5 linked regions of the Sus scrofa genome follow. Each later gene encodes a partner of the first gene's protein in a complex. Links are inferred from orthologs where the notes say so. Each region holds a gene or a part of one and is shown in the gene's direction. Other genes may lie near its edges. The genes, in order: LRRC23, NME5, DNAJB13, ROPN1L and DYDC1.

Region 1 (3,838 bases):
CCCAGGCTAGGGGTTGAATCGGAGCTACGCTGCCAGCCTGCACCCAGCCACGGCAATGTGAGATCTGAGCCACATCTGCCACCTACACCACAGCTCATGGCAATGCCAGATCCCTGGCCCACTGAACAAGGCCAGGGATCAAACCCACATCCTCATGGATACTAGTCGGATTTGTTTCTGATGTGCCACAATGGGAGCTCCCTGGATTCTTTATTCTGCATGGATTTCTACCCACCTCTCTTTCTCTTGCACCCTCCTACTTTTCTTATATTTGCTTTTTTGCTGCATCCCTTTCTGATTTCTCTTCCTTCCTCATCCCTTCTCCCATCTCGCAATCTATCTACTGTATCCACGGGGGTCTAGGCCCAGAACATGTTGAAGAAGGTGGAAGGTTTGGAGAACCTAAGCAATCTCACTACCTTGCATCTTCGGGACAACCAGATTGACACTCTGAGTGGCTTCTCCAAGGAAATGAAATCACTGCAGTACCTCAACCTAAGGTAGGCATCCTCTCCAGGCCCCACCTCACCCCTACCCTTTTCTGGGAGCCACATTTTTTTTTTCTTTTTAGGGCCCCATCCGTGGCACATGGAGGTTCCCAGGCTAGGGGTCGAATCAGAGCTGTAGCTGCCAGCCTACGCCAGAGCCAGAGCAACACGGGATCCTTAACCCACTGAGCAAGGCCGGAGGTTGAACTCAGGTCCTAATGGATACTAGTTGGGTTCGTTACCACTGAGCCACAATGGGAACTCCCAGGGGGGATTTTCTTTAACCAACTCTTGTGTGATGGAGCATGTTATGTGTTTCTCACAGCAAAGATGTAAGGAAATGGCCTCCCTAGTCAACAAGGCCAAATCCTTGAGGCTGGCAATGGATAGAGGATCTTCCAGTAGGGAGCCATGGTTATATCTTGAAGCCCCAATTCCTGCCCTGACCCATGGAATGATCTCTTGCTCATTAGCTCTGCCTTCCTGGTCTGGGAGGGTGGAGGGGGTACTGTTTTCTGGTTAATGGTCTGGACAGAGATAATGGACCTTCCTCAGAAGCTATTAACCGGTGATGTTTGGAAGTAAATGTACGGGGAGGGGGTTGTCTCCGTGACTTGGAGGTGCCTCTGGGGCCAAAGACCTGCAACACGTAGGACAGTCCAGTGGGAAGTGCGAGTAGCACTTTGGTTAGAAACACTGGGAGAGGTTCAGCACCTCCTTTGAGATGAGGCTGAAGTCTTTAAGCCTGATTTTCAAAGGTACAAAGCAAGAGTATGTAAATAAACATCCATGAGCATGGGGACAAGGAGACACTCTAGGGGAGGAAGCTTATTCTTCAGGCTGGGAGGCCCTGACCCACCCCTAGCTCTAGGCTCCTTCCTGTGGGAGCACCAAGGTAGTACCCGCTCCATGAGCCTGGAGCCCAGCTCCTCCTCCACTGGCTTGGGTCCTAACTGCTTCTTCTTCTTCTTCCTTTTTTTTTTTTTTGTCTTTTCTAGGGCTGCTTCCTGTGGCATATGGAGGTTCCCAGGCTAGGGGTCTAAGCGGAGCTGTAGCTGTAGCTGCTGGCCTACGCCAGAGCCACAGCAATGTGGGATCCGAGTCGAGTCTGCGACCTACACCACAGCTCACGGCAACGCTGGATCCCTAACCCAGGATTGGAACCTGGGTTGGCCAGGGTTGGAACCTGCAACCTCATGGTTTCTAGTCGGATTCGTTAACCACTGCGCCACAACGGGAACTCCATTCAGGGTACAGGTTTGATCCCTGGCCCTGCTCAGTGGGTTAAGGATCCGGCGTTGCTGTGAGCTGCGGTGTCAGTTACAGACACAGTTCGGATCCTGTGTTGCCATGGCTGTGGCGTAGGCCAGAAGCTATAGCTCCAATTCCACCTCTAGCCTGGGAACTTCCACATGCTGCAGCCTTAAAAAGAAAACAAACAAACAAAACAAAACCAGGTTTGAGACCCAGCTTTACTGCTCAAAAAGGATAAACACAGCACATTACAGAATAGACTGTGGCACCTAGGGAGTCCCTGAGGGGCAGAAGCAGGACAGGAGTAGGGCTGGACAGCATCTCATGGCAAATCTGACAATGCTTGGAGGGCCAGTCCACAGAGGCCATGTTTCTAGAGAGACCAGAGCCCCGTGGGGGATTTCTCCCAGGCCCTTTTCCTGGAAGGCAGCTGGCCTCCAAAGCCCCATCTCCCCTGGTGAACCCCTCCCGACTGCACCTGCAGGGGCAACATGGTGACCGACCTGGGGGAGCTAGCCAAGCTGCAGGACCTGCCCAAGCTGCGAGCCCTGGTGCTGCTGGACAACCCGTGTGCAGACGAGAGTGACTACCGCCAGGAGGCCCTGGTGCAGTTGGCACACCTCGAGCGCCTGGACAAGGACTTCTATGAGGAGGAGGAGCGGGCTGAGGCCGATGAGATCCGGCAGAGGATGAAGGAGGAGCAGGAGCAGGAGGCTGAGCCCGAGGCTGAATCGGAACTGGACCAGTCATCCATCTAGTAGTTCCTCTTGTCTCTAAGGGTGTTGGGGGTGGTGGGGGACAAGGAGGCAAGAGGAGGAGGCCAAGGGCCCAGCAGATGGGGAAGAGGAGTTGCTGTAGGAGGAGGTGGGTAAGGAAGGCAGAGGTCTTGGGGAGACCCGGGTAAGGAGTCAGGGGTGTCTCGGGGCGAGGAGAAAGAACCAGAGGGCCTGGGAGAATCTGAGAAAGGTTGGGGAGATACATCAGGAGGCCTGAAGAGTAAGTGAAAAAAACTGGGGTGGCAGAAATGTTGGTGTGGGCTCAGCAGCCACGCCTGCCAGGGAATGCCAACTCTGGGCCCTGGTGGGGGTAGAGCTGGGGGCAGTGTATGTTAGGATGACTGCTGGACCAGGGAAGAAGGCAGGAGAGGAAGATCTGGAGCTAAAAAGAACAGGATACCAAGCAGAAGGGAGAAAGGAGGGCAGGGCGAGGCAGAGAGACTAAACGATGAGCCCAGGGAACGGTGGCAGCTGGCATTTCAGGTGGGGCAAAGACAGCAGTGGGGGTGCTGTTGGGCCCTGAGGCTTGGCTCCTGTCCTCTTCCTCCAGGAGACTAAAGATGCTGGTCCCAGGACTGAGAAGATTCCCAGCTGGGGGGGCTGCCACATGTACACTCCTCATGAGACAGGTGATGGCTTCTTTTGCCTAGGCCCTGGGGTGCCTAGGCAAGTGGCAGCCCTCAGGCAGGTCTGGTGGGAGCCAGGCCCGTTTGGGCTGAAAGGATGCTGGAAGAATTGGCTACAGAGGAGCTGCGGAGGTGGCAGTCTGGGGTATTAGGAACAGTTTGGTTTTCCAATAAAGAGCGTTTTGATACTCTTGGGTTTGACGAGGTTTGCGAGATAGTCTGTCATGGGCTTGACTGGCTGATTACTGGCGTTGGCGTGAGGCTGAGGCTATTACTTTTCAGGGGGTATGAGTGTGCGTAGGAGGGTGGTCAGGTCTCAGGTAGCCCTCCGCCCCTCCAACATCGCTCTCCTCCAGCCCTCCCCACCCCACCCCACCCCATCGGTCCCCACCCCCATCGGTCCCCCACCCCCATCGGTCCCCCACCCGCGCTCCTACGTGCGCCTCCGCCGGCTGCTCCTGACTCATCGGGGGCTCCGGGTCACATGCGCCCGCCCGGCCCTATTGGCGCCTCCCCCCGTCCGCCCCCCGCCCGCCGCCCGGGAGCCGCAGCCGCCGCCGCCACTCCCGCTCTCTCTGTGCCATCACCGCCGCCGTCGCCAGCGCCACCACCACAGGCTGGGTCTGCAACTCTGAGGTGAAGCCCGCCGAGCCCCGAGCCCCTCCGGCCCCCTCCGTTCGCCGCCGCGCCCCCG
Region 2 (3,515 bases), on another chromosome or scaffold:
CTTCTCACAAAACAATACCTCTTTTTCACCTAGAGAACTATTCTTCCAAGTATATTTCTCCTGTAGATTTAAATATATTTGACCCTCGTCTAGATAGATTTATGTTTAAATTCAAAATAGATTAAAACCCCTTATGTGAGAAGTGGTGATGCTTTTGTAAAATTCCTAATATAACAAGTAAGGAAAAAACAGCAGATTAAATGGTCATCATCTCTTAACTTGCTTTTAGTCTAAGGGCAATTTATGGCACAGACGAGCTAAGGAATGCACTTCATGGGAGTAATGATTTTGCTGCAGCAGAAAGAGAAATTCGATTTATGTTTCCGGCAGGTGAGTTACATAATTAGTTCATTGCATCTACCTATGGTTTACTTTTTCTTTTATTTTGGAGACATAGCTGGGAGGGAAGATAACAGGATTTTTCTCCAATATATTGTCATGTTTTCAAGTTGTAATTACTTAACAGCTTAAGCCAAGAATAGAGAACTCAGCATTTTTCTCAGAACTAAATTGTGTCCTCTAGAATCTTTTGAGAAGGGTTAACTTTTTTTCTTTTCTTTTCTCTTGGACTGAACATATCTGGGGTTTTTCTTCTGTATTGTAATTCCTTTTAGTTATCCCTAAATGTATTAGCCAAGTTTTTTACACATGAAAAGAATCTTCTTTGGAAATTTTGGTTGACTTGCCATTTTCTTTAACAGTTTGCTGTTTAACAAGACTCATGCATTTATGAAATTAGTAGTTCTTAGGCCCCTTTTTTGTTTCCATCCTGTTATGGAAGCTGTTAACCTTTTAGAAGTGGGTATCGTAATGAGGTTTTCAGTTTGTTTTGAATAATATTGTTAGAGCAGAAAGAATTTGGTGATTTTTTTTATTATAAAGAGAAAAATTCAAAGTGTTGGGCAACTTTGAATTTTTTTGCATTTTTTTCCCTCTTAGTAATTTAGATCTCTGCCGCAGTATTTTCTGGTAAAGATTTATTCAAAGAAAACTGAAAATTGGAGTTCCCGTCGTGGCGCAGTGGTTAACGAATCCGACTAGGAACCATGAGGTTGTGGGTTCTGTCCCTGCCCTTGCTCAGTGGGTTAACGATCCGGCGTTGCCGTGAGCTGTGGTGTAGGTCGCAGACGCGGCTCGGATCCCGCGTTGCTGTGGCTCTGGCGTAGGCCGGTGGCTACAGCTCCGATTCAACCCCTAGCCTGGGAACCTCCATATGCCGCGGGAGCGGCCCAAGAAATAGCAACAACAACAACAAAAAAGACAAAAGACAAAAAAAACAAAAACAAAAACAAAAAAACAAAAAACTGAAAATTATCTTGGCTATTTAAAAGTACTGATTTTTGAACAAACAAAAACTCTTTTAAAGATTTTTTTGTAGATGTTCCTTGGTGGCCTCACAGTTAAAGATTCTGCATTGTCAGTGCTGTGGTGTGGGTTCGATCCCTGGCCTAGGAAGTTCTGCATGTCGCAGGCACAGCCATAAAAAAAATTTGTACGCAAAAGGATTTGCCTACTATATACTTTATTCTTATTGATCTAATTTCTGTCTTATACATTCCACTAAGATATAATTTTCTTTGCAAATGTTTATTGTGGAATATTTACACAAAAGTAGACAGAATAGAATAATAAATCCCTAATGAGCCCATCACTCAGCTTCAATGATATTTGATCAGTCTTTTTTTAAAAATTGAAGTATAGTTGATTTAGGTCAGTCTTACTTCATTTATAACCCTTGCTTCTACTTCTCCTGTTTCCATTTATATTGAACCACATCTTAAACTTGAGATTTTTTTTTTTATAATATTTAATTTATTTTGTCTTTTTTTTGTCTTTTTAGGGCCACACCCACAGCATATGGAGGTTCCCAGGCTAGGGGTCTAATTGGAGCTGTTGCTGCTGGCCCCAGGCACAGCCACAGCAACACTAGATCCAAGCCGCATCTGCAACCCACATCACAGCTCATGGCAATGCCAGATCCTTAACCCACTGAGCGAGGCCAGGGATCGAACCGACACCTCATGGTTCCTAGCCAGATTTGTTTCCGCTGCGCCATGATGGGAAATCTGAGATGTCTTTTTAATGTGGTAGATTTTTAGATTTAGTCCTACTGGTGAATTTAGACTTCTCCTCTTTAGCTTTTAACTAAAATAACGTTCAAACTCACTTTTAAGTAGAAGATACATTTGGAAGCTCTTCTTGCTCATAGGGTTATATCCCTAAACAGTTATTTTAGATTGCCTTTGATTTTACCTATTAATTAATCCTCTAGGTAGCTATTTGAGAAGCAGCAGTTGTAGGATAAAAAATGATTGCAGATCTTGTGTGTGTGTGTGTGTGTGTGTGTGTGTGTGTGTGTCTTTGTGTCTTTTTGCCTTTTCTATGGCCACTTCCGTGGCCTATGGAGGTTCCCAGGCTAGGGGTCTAATTGGAGCTATAGCCGCTGACCTGCGCCAGAGCTACAGCAACTCAAGATCCGAGCCGCCTCTGCGACCTACACCACAGCTCATGGCAATGCTGGATCCTTAACCCACTGAGCAAGGCTAGGGATCAAACCCGAAACCTCATGGTTCCTAGTCGGATTCATTAACCACTGAGCCACGACGGGAACTCTGATTGCAGATCTTTTGCTGTGGGAATATAGACTTCGAAGTAAGTTCTCAAAGTTTGTGATATGAGCTTTCTGGCTTAGCAGTCAGTCAAGAACTACATGCAAAACCCTATATGATGATTTGCTAAAGCAAGTTATTAAGATAATCAAAGACAGGAGTTCCCGTCGTGGCGCAGTGGTTAACGAATCCGACTAGGAACCATGAGGTTGCGGGTTCGGTCCCTGCCCTTGCTCAGTGGGTTAACGATCCGGCGTTGCCGTGAGCTGTGGTGTAGGTTGCAGACGCGGCTCGGATCCTGCGTTGCAGTGGCTCTGGCGTAGGCCGGTGGCTACAGCTCCGATTCAACCCCTAGCCTGGGAACCTCCATATGCCGCCGGAGCGGCCCAGGAAATAGCAACAACAACAACAACAAAAGACAAAAAGACAAAAAAGACAAAAAAAAAAAAAAGATAATCAAAGACATACTTATAATCCTTGAAAAAGCTAGTGTTCTTTCCTTCCCTTTTAATAGGGATGGCTGATTCAAAGCTTTGCTATGTTCTATTCATTCAACAAATGTATTGAGTTACCTACCACATGCCAGAAATACAAAAATGAATAAGATATTCATGCTCTCTCAAGATGATCATATTTTAAAAGTCTGTAAAGGTATAAAAATAAATATAAATGCAGTGTATAAATTATGTCATGAAAAAGCTTTAAAAAGTGCAGTGAAAGTTTATATAAGAAACATGAAAACACTCTTTAGGTTCTCAATTCATTCAGCCTTAGTTGCTAGAAACAAATAATAAATGGCTGACAAAAATAGACAAGATAGAAATAATCCAAAAATTAAGTTGAGTTCTCTGTGGCATAGCCCATTAAGGATCTAGTGTTGTCTCTGCGGCAGCGCAGGTTGGATCC
Region 3 (3,515 bases), on another chromosome or scaffold:
CTAGTTGTGGACTGTGTTTTATTTGACCTCTCTGGGCTGACCAAATAATAGTCCAAAGGGCTAAAAAGGGCACCTGACGCCAGCAAGCTCTCAGCTGTAGTTCCTTATCGTCTTGTTATCTGACCCGAACCTGGAAGGCGGGTCAGGTGTGTTGCTCCTTCCCACAGACGAGAGACTGGAGCCGGGACACCTGCACTGCCGGGGAAGGGCACAGGCTCTCTGTGTGAGGATGGAGGTGGGGCTGCCAAAGGTGTTTTGGCTGTAGGGCTGGGCAGGAGCAGAAGGAATCGAGGCAGGAGTTTGCGGACATGGTGGTGGCCTCGCCACCATCTCAGCCACTGACTTCATAGAAACTCGAGTCTGAGGTCTCTCGTCTTGGGCTGGGCTGGGGCGGAGCCTGGGGAAGGGCTGGGAGGTCTGGCCTTGCTCCAGCCCCCTCCGCGAAAGTAATAGCACCTCCAGGCCCTGCCACCAGAGGGCACTGCTCTCTCTCCTGGGGAGCACTTCCCTGGAGCTGAGGGCGGAGGGAGACTGCGAAGTGAGGATGAAGGGCGGCCAAAGTCGGGCCGAGGCAGGGAGAGCGGCAAGGGGTGGTGACCACCGGGTCTTCAGCTGAGGATGGTACCAAGCCTACCCTCCTGCTGGCAGCACGGCAGGCCAGTAAATCCAGAGACGAGCTGTTGGAGCAAAGGATAGTAACTCTATTCAAGAAGCCAAGAAGACGGTTCCCAAAGGACCGTATATATATATTTTTTGCTTCTCAGGGCCTCACCCGCGGCATATGGAGGTTTCCAGGCTAGGGGTCTAATCGGAGCTACAGCTGCTGGCCTACACCACAGCCACAGGAACTCGGGCTCCAAGCTGTGTCTGCCACCAACACCAGATCCTTGACCCACTGAGCGAGGCCAGGGATCAAACCTTCAGCCTCATGGTTCCTAGTCAGATTTGTTTCCACTGAGCCGCGATGGGAACTCCGCAAAGGACCATCTTATCTGAGAATTCAGACTTCTTTTATACTAAAAGGAGAGGGAGTGGGTGTTCTCCTGGGTCTCAGCAGGTTAAGGATCCGGTGTTGTCACTGCAGCTGCTCAGGTTGCTGCTATGGCAGTGGTGGGTTCTATCCCTGGCCTGGGAACTTCCACATGCTGCGGGCATGGCCAAAAATTAAAATTTTTTTTTTGCTTTTTTTGCTTTTTTAGGGCTGCGCCTGTGGCATATGGAAGTTTCCAGGCTAGGGGTCAAATTGGAGCTGTAACTGCTGGCCTACGCCGCAGCCATAGCAATGCAGAATCCGAGCCAAGTCTGTGACCTATACCACAGCTCATGGCAATGCTGGATCCTTAACCCACTAAGTGAGGCCAGGGATCACACCCACATCTTCATGGATACTAGTCAGATTTGTTTCTGCTGTGCCACAACGGGAACTCCCAATTTTTTTTTTTTTTTTTTTTTTTTTTGTCTTTTCTAGGGCCATACCCATGGCATATTGAGGTTCCCAGGCTAGGGGTCCCATCAGAACTATAGCCGCTGTTCTACACCACAGCCACAGCCATGCCAGATATGAGCTGCTTCTGCGACCACAGCCCACAGCAACGCCGGATCCTTAAGCCACTGAGCAAGGCCAGGGATCAAACCCGCAACCTCATGGTTCCTAGTCAGATTCCTAGTCAGATTCGTTAACAATGGGAACTCGTAAAATTTTTTAAAAATTGAAGGAGAGGGAGTCAAACATTTCCTGGTTCCAGTCTGCCTCCAGAGGGATGTGGTAATTTCTTCTTGCCTGCAACCATTCCCAGGTGGGCCTGGTGGGGATGCTTCCTGTGAGCTAAACCAAGGTATTTTAGCTGATGCAGAATACCTGGGAGGCAGGGTTCCCAGAGATGGGCCATTATGTATAATTTACGCTTATAGGCAACATCCCTTTAGTGCTTAACTTGTAATTATGAGGACAGCTCCTCGGACAAACGGGCTGGAGCCTGTGAGGCGGGAACGGGAGGCTGGGTATTACACTCGGGGACTGAAACGGTGCGGGATTGTCCGTGAACATGAGTTTCTGGACACAGTTTCTCTTACTCCGTGCGTCTCCCCACCTTCTGCAGAGTTTTTTGATGCAGAAGGAAATGAGGTGGATCTTAACTTTGGGGGGCTCCGGGGCCGCGGGGTCAAGAAACAGGACCCCCCCATCGAGCGAGACCTCTACTTGTCTCTGGAGGACTTGTTCTTCGGCTGCACCAAGAAAATTAAGATCTCCCGAAGGGTGAGTACCGCGAGCCTCCTCCTAACCGCTCTGACCCGAACCGGAGACCTCGGGTATGGCCTCTCTCGGGATCATGGCATCTTAGATTTGGGGACCTAGGATGGTGGAATTCTAAAATCTGACCTTTGGAAGGGACAGTCGGGGGTATTAGCTGGGGTTCTTTCTGAGTTCAGGAGTCCCCCTGCATGCCCCCAACTTCTCAGTTCAGCCCCATCCCTGAGGAAACTGGGAGTCTCCTGTGATTTCTGCCTTCTGGGCGTTACCAGCCCATACCCTGTGGGTTCCTGGGTGTGTGCCTCCTGAGTAAGAAGGTGCCCTGTGGGCATGGGAGGGGGAGGCTGGGGGACAGTCCCTAAGGGGACTTGGAGAAGACCCTCAATGCCTCAGGGTCCAGCCCTGTGCTAGCCCCGTGCCATGGTCCACATGAGCACGGCCCCCTCCAACCTTTGCCCGGCAAAGGAGATGCCAGTTGTAGCCATGCCTTGCACAGATGGCCCCCATGTGGGCCTGTGATTGGGGGGTGGGTGACAGGTGACATACAGAGGAGTGCTGTGGGTGAGGCTCTGTGGTCTTTCTCCCTTGGGAATTAAGAGCCCTGCTGGAGGCTCGGGCAGAAGCCGCGGGGGTGGGAGAGGAGGTGGGTGTGTGTTCCCTGTGTATCTGTCAGTGGCCACAGCCGTGAGTTTCTAGGACTGGAGTGGGTCCTTGGTCAACTCACGGTGACACTTGGCACCTCGGACCCGAGCCCCATGTCATGCCCTGGCCCTCCTGGCCTAAGTTCCTGGTTTCAGTGGAACGGGCGTGGGGTGGCTCTGGCAGCTTCTCCCCATTGCTAGAGGCCACCTGGCAAACCTCCGTCCCGTCGTCTCGCCGCAGGTGCTGAACGAGGACGGGTTCTCCTCTACCATCAAGGACAAGATCCTCACCATTGACGTGAAGCCTGGGTGGAGGCAGGGCACCCGAATCACCTTTGAGAAGGAAGGGGACCAGGTGAGGGGAGGGCTGCTCCCTGGGGCCAGTCCCCCGGGTCCGCGTGGTGGGAGGACCGAGGCGGGAGGAGGCAGTGCGTGTTCTTGGTCCGGCAGGGAGGCCGGTCTGCAGAGTGGGCGAGCCGACCCCTCATGTCCCTCCCGAGGGACTGAGCCTCACAGGACATCCCCCAGGACCGAGTGGGCAACCGAGGCCCAGAGAAGGCAGGGACCTGCCCAGGGCACGGGCACCAGAGCAGGAAGGAGAAGCGAGTCCTAACACCAGTGTT
Region 4 (4,206 bases), on another chromosome or scaffold:
ACATAGGCCAAACACTCTCTCACATAAACAACAGCAACATATTATCAGATCCACCTCTTGGAGTATTGACAATAAAAAGAAAAATAAACAAATGGGACCTAATAAAACCTCAAAGTTTCTGCACAGCAATGGAAACCCTAAACAACACAAAAAGACATCCCACAGAATGGAAGAAAATCTTTGCAAATGAATCGACTGACCAGAGATTCCTCTCCAAAATTTATAAACACCTTCTGCAGCTCAATACCAAAAAAACAAATAACCCCATCAAAAAATGGGCGGAAGATCTAAACAGACAGTTCTCCAAAGAAGACATACGGATGGCTGAGAAACACATGAAAAGTTGTTCAACATCACTCATTATTAGAGACACGCAAATCAAAACCACTCTGAGGTACCACCTTACACCAGCCAGAATGGCCATCATCCAAAAGTCTACAAACAAGAAGTGCTGGAGAGGGGGTGGAGAATAAGGAACCCTCTTACACGGTTGGTGGGATTGTAAATTGGTGCAACCACTGTGGAAAGCAGTATGGAGATTCCTCAGAAAACTAAACATAGAACTCCCATTGGATCCAGCAATCCCACTCCTGGGCATCTATCCAGAGAAAACACAAAACACATCTATCGCAAAGACACATGTACTCCGATGTTCACTGCAGCACTATTTACAATAGCCAAGACATGGAAACAACCTAAATGTCCATCGACAGAGGAGTGGATCCAGAAGATGTGGTACATATACACAATGGAATATTACTCAGCCATGAAAAAGAACGAAATCAGCATTTTTAGCAACATGGATGGACCTAGAAACTATCATGCTAAGTGAAGTCAGCCATACAATGAGACACCAACATCAAATGCTTTCACTGACATGTGGAATCTGAAGAAAGGACAGACGGAATTTCTTTGCACAACAGATGCTGACTCACAGACATTGAAAAACTTATGGTATCCGGAGGAGACAGTTTGGGGGGTGGGGGGATGTGCTTGGGCTGTGGGATGGAAATCCTGTGAAATCAGATTTTTATGATCATTATACAACTACAGATGTGATAAATTCATTTGAGTAATAAAAAAAATTAAGAAAAACAAGAGATGCAACGAGAACGTGCTGTGTAGCAGAAGAAAATCTACTCAGTAGTTTGTAAGAACCTATATGGGAAAAAAGAATGGATATATTTATATGCATGACTGTATCATTTTACCATACACCTAAAACTAATACACCATTGTAAGTCAACTTTACTCCAATAAAATTAAATTAATCAAAAGAAAAAAAAAAAAAAAGTCCTTTTCAAGTGAAACGTTCTGCTCCTACAGCGAGGTAAAGGAAAGGACTGCGAAACCAGACTGCGCAAGCGCATTGCTCCACCATTTGTGCGCGTGCGCGGCTCCAGGGGGTGGAGCCCGCACATGTTTTGGTTGCTTGGATACCGCTGCGAAACAATAGCGGTGGCTTGCTGCCCAGTTGCTGGGTCTGCGCTAGAACCAGCGGTTGGCCCTCATTTTCCGAGGAACCGGAGGAGCGGGTAAGAGCCTTCGCCGGCTGCCGGCGCCTCAGGAAGCCAGCCTCTTGGCCTGCCCTCAAACCCAAAACTGCCGCCCAGCCCCGGTCCCCGGCCCCTCCAAACCCGAGGAAAGGTGGGCAGCCTGCCCTGGCCTGGTTTAAACGCACCACCCCCGGCCTGGTTCAAGATCCCGGACCCCGCCCAGCCCCGCCCCAGACCCTCTTCCTCCACTAGGCTTCAAACTGGGGACCCTGGACCCCGTGCTCTGGCCCGGCCCCTGGGTCCCCTGGCCGTCGCGTCTCTCCGAGTGTCCTGGGCTGGCCAACCAGCCTTTTCTCCCTCCGCAGCACACCTTGATTCTTTCCAGCCTGGTCCTGGTCTGCGGAGAGCGATGCCGCTTCCCGACACCATGTTCTGCGCACAGCAGATCCACATTCCCCCGGAACTGCCAGACATCCTGAAGCAGTTCACCAAGGCTGCGATCCGCACCCAACCCGCCGACGTGCTGCAGTGGTCCGCGGGGTAAGTTCCACCGGACTGGGACCTTGGAGAGCCCCCTGGTCCCCTTTGCCCAGTCGTGCCTAGTGAGTCCTCCTTCCTGGACAATGCTCAGTACCCTGAGTACCGGCAAAACCTTTTTTAGCATTGGTATCTACACCTAATATAGTATTGTAGATACCATACACCTAATGTAGGTACCAGTGGTTTTGGTATTTACACCTAAGTATCTATCTAGGAAGCGTCGTGGTTTATTGACCACGAGACCAGAAATTACTGCAAAATGCCCATTTATCTACAAAGCAATGGCAGCTCTATTGTTGGAGAGTGATATTTATGCAAGTAGACTAAAATTTATAAAACAGTTACATTGGGTAAAAAGTTTCTGCCTTGTGTTATAAACTCGAACTATCACAGTCCCTTTATTTGTGAAATGATTTTTACAAGGAAGAATCTTATGGTTATATTCTTTGTCTTCAGAAAATCCTCCAGGATTGAGTACCTTTTGAGGTTATTGGAACCAGAAAGACTAGTTTATGTCAAGTAACCATCCCAAGGCTGCTGTAAAGTTAAACTTTGCCCAGCTTAGTTCAAGCATATGAGCGTCACAGTTTATTGCAACAAACATTCTGCTTCTAGGAACAGACATTAAGTTAACAAAATATGTCTGAACTTGTCCTAAGAGCGTGAAAGTTGAATTTGAGGGGGTGGAGAGAGAAAAAGGGGATGAGATATAAAATTTCTTTTAGTCCATCAAATATCTATTGATCTACATTTTGTTACATGTTCAGAGATGTTTTCTAACTACTTGTATCTTTGAAATTATTACTGGTAGCCCTGGATGATTTAGTGCCTTATTTTCCTGGATATGGCATTTCTCTGACAGTGGTAAGGTTGTGAGGGCAGCAAATGATGTGGCTTCAGCAGCCATTCTCAGCTGCATGCACCCACAGAGAGTGAGCTTCCAGAAGACCCTGCCTGGCACCCCTCACCCTCCAGCCAGACCCCCGGGGTCCTGTCCCCCTCCTGTCTTGTTGCCCCAGACTCTCTCTGTGTCCCAGCTTCTTCCTAGTATTAGCACCAATATCCATGTCCCAGAAAGGAATGATTGAGTGGGAAAATACTGAAGAAAAAAAAAAAATACCAGGCAGGAAAGGTGAAGAGTAGGGGAGGTTGGCCCTGAGTTGGCCAAACAGGTGACTTCCCTGTTCTGAGTGCCTGAGACCCGAATAGGCAGAGATGCTTGAAATCAAGCCCCTCGAGAAGCAGGGCCAAGTCCCCAGCTGTCAAAATGATACTACTGGACCATGCCCTTGCACTTGGGTCACATGGGGCCCTGACCTCCACCTCCTCTAGCAACATCTCAGGACCTCTAGTGGCATCTACTTGATGAGATTAGCATGTGTCGTGAGACCCCCAGGAGTGCAGATGGGGGCCTTGAGACAGGGGCCACCATTCTCCCCACTCTGCAGACAGAGAAACTGAGGCATGTGGAGAATGTTAAGTCAGTTGAGTAGAGGGGCTGGGCCAGGGACCTAGCACAGTCCTCCGTCATCACTGTCTCCCTCTGAGGTCACTGATGAAAGTGCATGAAGTCAGCTGGATGCACAGATGAGCCTTCAGCAATGCATGTCGTTGTCAGGTATTTTTCAGCTTTGTCAAGAGGAGATCCACTTCCTGTAAAGGACAGAATTGAAATGCCCATGGCCACTCAGAAAACAGACACAGGCCTGACTCAAGGACTCCTTAAAGTTTTGCACAAGCAGGTATAAGATTGTCTTTGTCATCAGTCAGATGAACTTGAGATAAAGCTTGGCAGAAACCTCCCCATCATCCATACAAGCCCTGCTTCCCTTTGGGAAACCTCCAAGTTTATTCAAAGAAGGAATCTTGTATTCAGTGGCCTTTCTCTGGTTTAAAGAACCCCAAATAGGAGTTCCCATTGTGGCTCAGTGGGTTATGAACCTGACTAGCATCCGTGAGGATGCGTTTCTTTCTTTCTTTCTTTCTTTCTTTCTTTCTTTCTTTCTTTCTTTCTTTCTTTCTTTCTTTCTTTCTTTTGCTTTTTCAGGGCCAAACCTGCGGTATCCTCATGGATATTAGTTGGGTTTGTAACCCACTTAGCCACAACGGGAACTCCAAGGATGCTGGTTTAATCTTTGAGCTTGCTCAGTGGGATAAGGATCTGGCATTG
Region 5 (3,672 bases), on another chromosome or scaffold:
TTTATTTTTTTGCTATTTCTTGGGCTGCTCCCTCGGCATATGGAGGTTCTCAGGCTAGGGGTCGAATCGGAGCTGTAGCCGCCGGCCTACGCCAGAGCCACAGCAACGCTGGATCCGAGCCGCATCTGCAACCTACACCACAGCTCACGGCAACGCCGGATCGTTACCCACTGAGCAAGGGCAGGGACCCAACCCGCAACCTCATGGTTCCTCGTCGGATTCGTTAACCACTGCGCCACGACGGGAACTCCTAGCATTTATTCTTAAGAATTCTCGTCATTAACAGGTATTAGTGTTCATTCTATTAATTGACAGTGTTGAATTTTGATGGTATAATTCAGAAATGTCTCATCAAAACTGAAAGGAAATTAATGTATTAATGTATTTGAAAGTGAAAATGAACTCTCTGATTGTAGGACAGAGCCGACTCAGGCAAAACACTGGCTGAAATCAGTGATCGTTACGGGGCACCTAACTTGAGCAGAGTGGAAGAACTTGATGAACCAATGCTATCTGATGTAAGTATCCTTAGGAAATTGTTTTGTGAAAAGCAGAATTTTTTTTTTTTTTTTAACTTTAGGAAGGCCTAGTGCATATGAGGCTGGGGTTGGATGGCAGATGGGCCTTTTGCTTCATAGAAGGAAAACCAGTTTTCTGGATGCCAGCATATCCCTAATTGGCCTTCTGCCCTTTCGTGCTGCGTGTTACTGGCTCTGAGGGTGCAGGCAGGCACATGTCTGGCTCCACACAAATGTGTGGGCCCTGAGTGGGAAGCAGCTGGGAGTTGGTGTTAAGGTAGCAGTGTGCCCTCCTATGCAGAGCGTGATATGTATGTTTAGAGTGAGGCTTTGAAAATTTCAAAATCTCTTCAGAATAGGTATTTAAAAGCATGTGGTGAAATACATAACCTTTAAATTAAAATTTGGGGGCCAACACTGACCCAAAACATGGAGCCAAATAAATATCTTAATGAGAGTGCATGCTTTTATAGTATATAAGCACATCTGCTATTTAATAAACATGTAATGTTTGCTATTGTGCCACACATGGTGCTTGATGCTGTTATGAGTAAAACAGGTCATTTTTGACCTTGTCTAGGGGAGAGACAATTGGATAAGCAATTAATAGTCATTATTAGGAGTTTCCTTGTGGTGCAGTGGGTTAAGGATTTAGTGATGTCATTGCAGCCGCTTGGGTTGCTGCTGTGACACATGTTTGATTCCACCCAGGAACTGCTACATGCTGGTGGCACAGCCCCCCCCCCAAAAAAAGAGTGACCAGGTAATTTATTGCCCAAACCAGTATGCTTTGAGAACAAAGGGCAGAGCTGTTGGTAATTGAGCCAAGTCAGCTGGATGTAAACCAGGACTGGCCTGACAGAGGGATTCATTGAGTCACCTTCGTCAGTGAGCACTGACAAGGTGGGACAACTGCCCGGTTGAAGACTCTTGGTCAGGAAAGGCTTCCTGAAGGAAATCCACTTGTCCCTTGGTGGGAGGCTGAAAGCACAGAGTGTGAAGACCCAGCTCAGGGAGAATAGAGAGAGTAGGAGGCAGAGAGAGATTGGAGCTGAGGCAGTGGGGAAGGCAGGGGCCAGACCAGGAGAGCATGTGTAAGGTGGGCTCAGAAGTTTATATTTTATCCTGGGGACAATGGAGGCTAACATGATCAAAGCTGCATTTGAGGAAGGCCATCTGGCCACAGGATGTGGAAAAGACTGAAATGATAGATTTGCAGAGACCCACTAGGAGGTTCTTGTAATCTGGAGAGAGATGGCATTGATGGCCTGGAGTAGTAAAGGGTGTTTTCAAGAGCTGTTCAGAAAGTAGAGCTGGAAGGATTTGGTGCCAATCAGTCTGTGGTTACATTCTTATTAAATGGCTGCCATGTTTCAGTACTGTGCAGGGAGCTAGACAATGCCAGTGAACAAAACATATTGAGTTCCTGCTCTTTGGGGTCCATGGGCAAGCCCAAAATGTGCTCTCAGGGGACAGAGCAGGGAAATTAGCCCACGTGAGTCTCCTCCAGGAAGTGTCATTTAAGAAACTAGCCTGAGATAAGCCCTGCAGATGGAAAGGGCGAGATGCTTTCAAAGAACTGGAGTAGTCTATTATGGCTGAGTTGCATGGAGCCAGTAGAATGGTGTGATTTGAAGCTGGAGATGTGGGTGGAGATCACACTGATCACACTGAGCTCTGTGAGTCGTGTTAGGGATTTGGGACTTGAGTGCCGTGGGAGTCATCGAAAGATGTATGTGAGGATTAGATATGTGTTTTTAGAAAGTGGAGCGAGGATTTGAATGGGTAGGCGTGGAAGCAGGAGACCACCTAGGAGGTTATTAGAGGCAGCCACATGCAAGGTGATCAGGGCTAGGACCAAGGTGCAGACAGCAGAGATAGGGACAGCTGAGTGGATTTGATATTGGTCGAGAGGATAAAGGAGAGAAAGAAATCAAAGATGAAGCCCAGATTTCTCCCTTGGACAGCCTGGATGCTTCACCATTTTTTTGAGCTTTCTCATTGGTTGAATTGAGGAACATATGAAGAGAAAGTAGGTTTTGTGAAAATGATGGCTTCAGTTGTGGACATGTTGAATTTCAGGTCACTCTGAGGTATGCAGGTAAAAATGGCCAAAGACCAGTTGAAGTACAATGTGGATCTGAAGGACAGGAGGGAGGTCCAGCAGGAGATAGGAGTTCAGCGGTCATTGGCATATAGGCTTAGTGCAGCTGGGAGTGTGAGTAAAGTACCTAGGAGTGCATGCAGATGTGAAGGAGGGGGCTCAGGGTGAAACCCTGAGAAATTTCAACATTTAAGGGGTGGGTATGGGACCCCTATAAGAAGGATATAGATAACAGTAAGAGAAAATAGCAAGAGAAGTAGAAGAAAGGATGGGTTAATAAATACACTGAGAACACAATTACATTATTGTTATATTGAATTTGCATTTTACTTGAAATAATCTGAAACTATCAAAAAACTTGATTTACATAGTCACATAGAAATTACCTAAGCTCTAATTTTCTGTGACTTGTATATTTTCACAGTTCTAATTGTATTAAAGCATATTTACTTTTTATTTTGTTTTTAGGTTGCATTAAACATTGATCAAGATTTGTAGAATCAACCAACCTAAGAACAATAAATTTTTCTTGTTTCAAATTTCAAAGTGTGAGGTCCCCAAACATATTCCACCCCCAAACTTGAATTCTACTTTTTTCCCCTCTGAAGACAGCTTTGTAAATGGGCTTCAAGGGTGGTCTTAAAATATTGTTTTGGATTTCTCAATGTCACTAGTTACTGTATGATTCCATTGAGAGGTCGGGAGAGAGCAACTAAAAGGGGCAGTGGGAGACAAGCTGAAAAGAATGTGAGTATCTGTGTGAGAACAGATTGCCTAAGATGGAAGTTACTGGTCTGTGAGAAGTGAAAGAGGCTGCCACGATGTAGTGCTCAGGAATATTCAACATGCTTTAGATATGGTGTTTCCTCCTATGAGAACACTTCAAAGATTTCCCCAGTTTGCTGGGAAGCGATGCTCTAGAGTACCACTTAATCCATGCTTATTGATGGGACTGTGATGGGGAGGGATGGAACGTACCTGGGTACAGAGAAGCAGCATTTCTTCTTGAACAATCATTGGGCAAAGTTGCTGTGTTGAAAGGAAGATCTC

Evidence for each region.
Region 2: LRRC23 (region 1) and NME5 share a complex: the UniProt entries of both Homo sapiens proteins name them as parts of the axonemal radial spoke complex. The link is inferred for Sus scrofa from reciprocal best matches to the Homo sapiens genes LRRC23 and NME5.
Region 3: LRRC23 (region 1) and DNAJB13 share a complex: the UniProt entries of both Homo sapiens proteins name them as parts of the axonemal radial spoke complex. The link is inferred for Sus scrofa from reciprocal best matches to the Homo sapiens genes LRRC23 and DNAJB13.
Region 4: LRRC23 (region 1) and ROPN1L share a complex: the UniProt entries of both Homo sapiens proteins name them as parts of the axonemal radial spoke complex. The link is inferred for Sus scrofa from reciprocal best matches to the Homo sapiens genes LRRC23 and ROPN1L.
Region 5: LRRC23 (region 1) and DYDC1 share a complex: the UniProt entries of both Homo sapiens proteins name them as parts of the axonemal radial spoke complex. The link is inferred for Sus scrofa from reciprocal best matches to the Homo sapiens genes LRRC23 and DYDC1.

What each region holds. Positions count from the first base shown.
Region 1 is NC_010447.5:63,808,805-63,812,642, reverse strand, and holds the end of LRRC23 (leucine-rich repeat-containing protein 23), read left to right. Parts: intron 1-363; coding exon 364-500; intron 501-2,226; coding exon 2,227-2,499; intron 2,500-3,068; coding exon 3,069-3,069; 3' UTR 3,070-3,336; downstream 3,337-3,838. UniProt on the Homo sapiens protein: Essential for sperm motility and male fertility. Plays an important role in the proper assembly of the third radial spoke (RS3) head and the bridge structure between RS2 and RS3 in the sperm flagella.
Region 2 is NC_010444.4:140,155,155-140,158,669, reverse strand, and holds part of NME5 (nucleoside diphosphate kinase homolog 5), read left to right. Parts: intron 1-229; coding exon 230-330; intron 331-3,515. UniProt on the Homo sapiens protein: Functions as part of axonemal radial spoke complexes that play an important part in the motility of sperm and cilia. Does not seem to have nucleoside diphosphate kinase (NDPK) activity.
Region 3 is NC_010451.4:8,348,700-8,352,214, forward strand, and holds part of DNAJB13 (dnaJ homolog subfamily B member 13), read left to right. Parts: intron 1-2,099; coding exon 2,100-2,257; intron 2,258-3,133; coding exon 3,134-3,247; intron 3,248-3,515. UniProt on the Homo sapiens protein: Functions as part of axonemal radial spoke complexes that play an important part in the motility of sperm and cilia.
Region 4 is NC_010458.4:41,902-46,107, forward strand, and holds the start of ROPN1L (ropporin-1-like protein), read left to right. Parts: upstream 1-1,397; 5' UTR 1,398-1,535; intron 1,536-1,861; 5' UTR 1,862-1,905; coding exon 1,906-2,036; intron 2,037-3,654; coding exon 3,655-3,778; intron 3,779-4,206. UniProt on the Homo sapiens protein: Functions as part of axonemal radial spoke complexes that play an important part in the motility of sperm and cilia. Important for male fertility.
Region 5 is NC_010456.5:82,176,493-82,180,164, reverse strand, and holds the end of DYDC1 (DPY30 domain-containing protein 1), read left to right. Parts: intron 1-416; coding exon 417-518; intron 519-3,090; coding exon 3,091-3,120; 3' UTR 3,121-3,161; downstream 3,162-3,672. UniProt on the Homo sapiens protein: Functions as part of axonemal radial spoke complexes that play an important part in the motility of sperm and cilia. Plays a crucial role during acrosome biogenesis.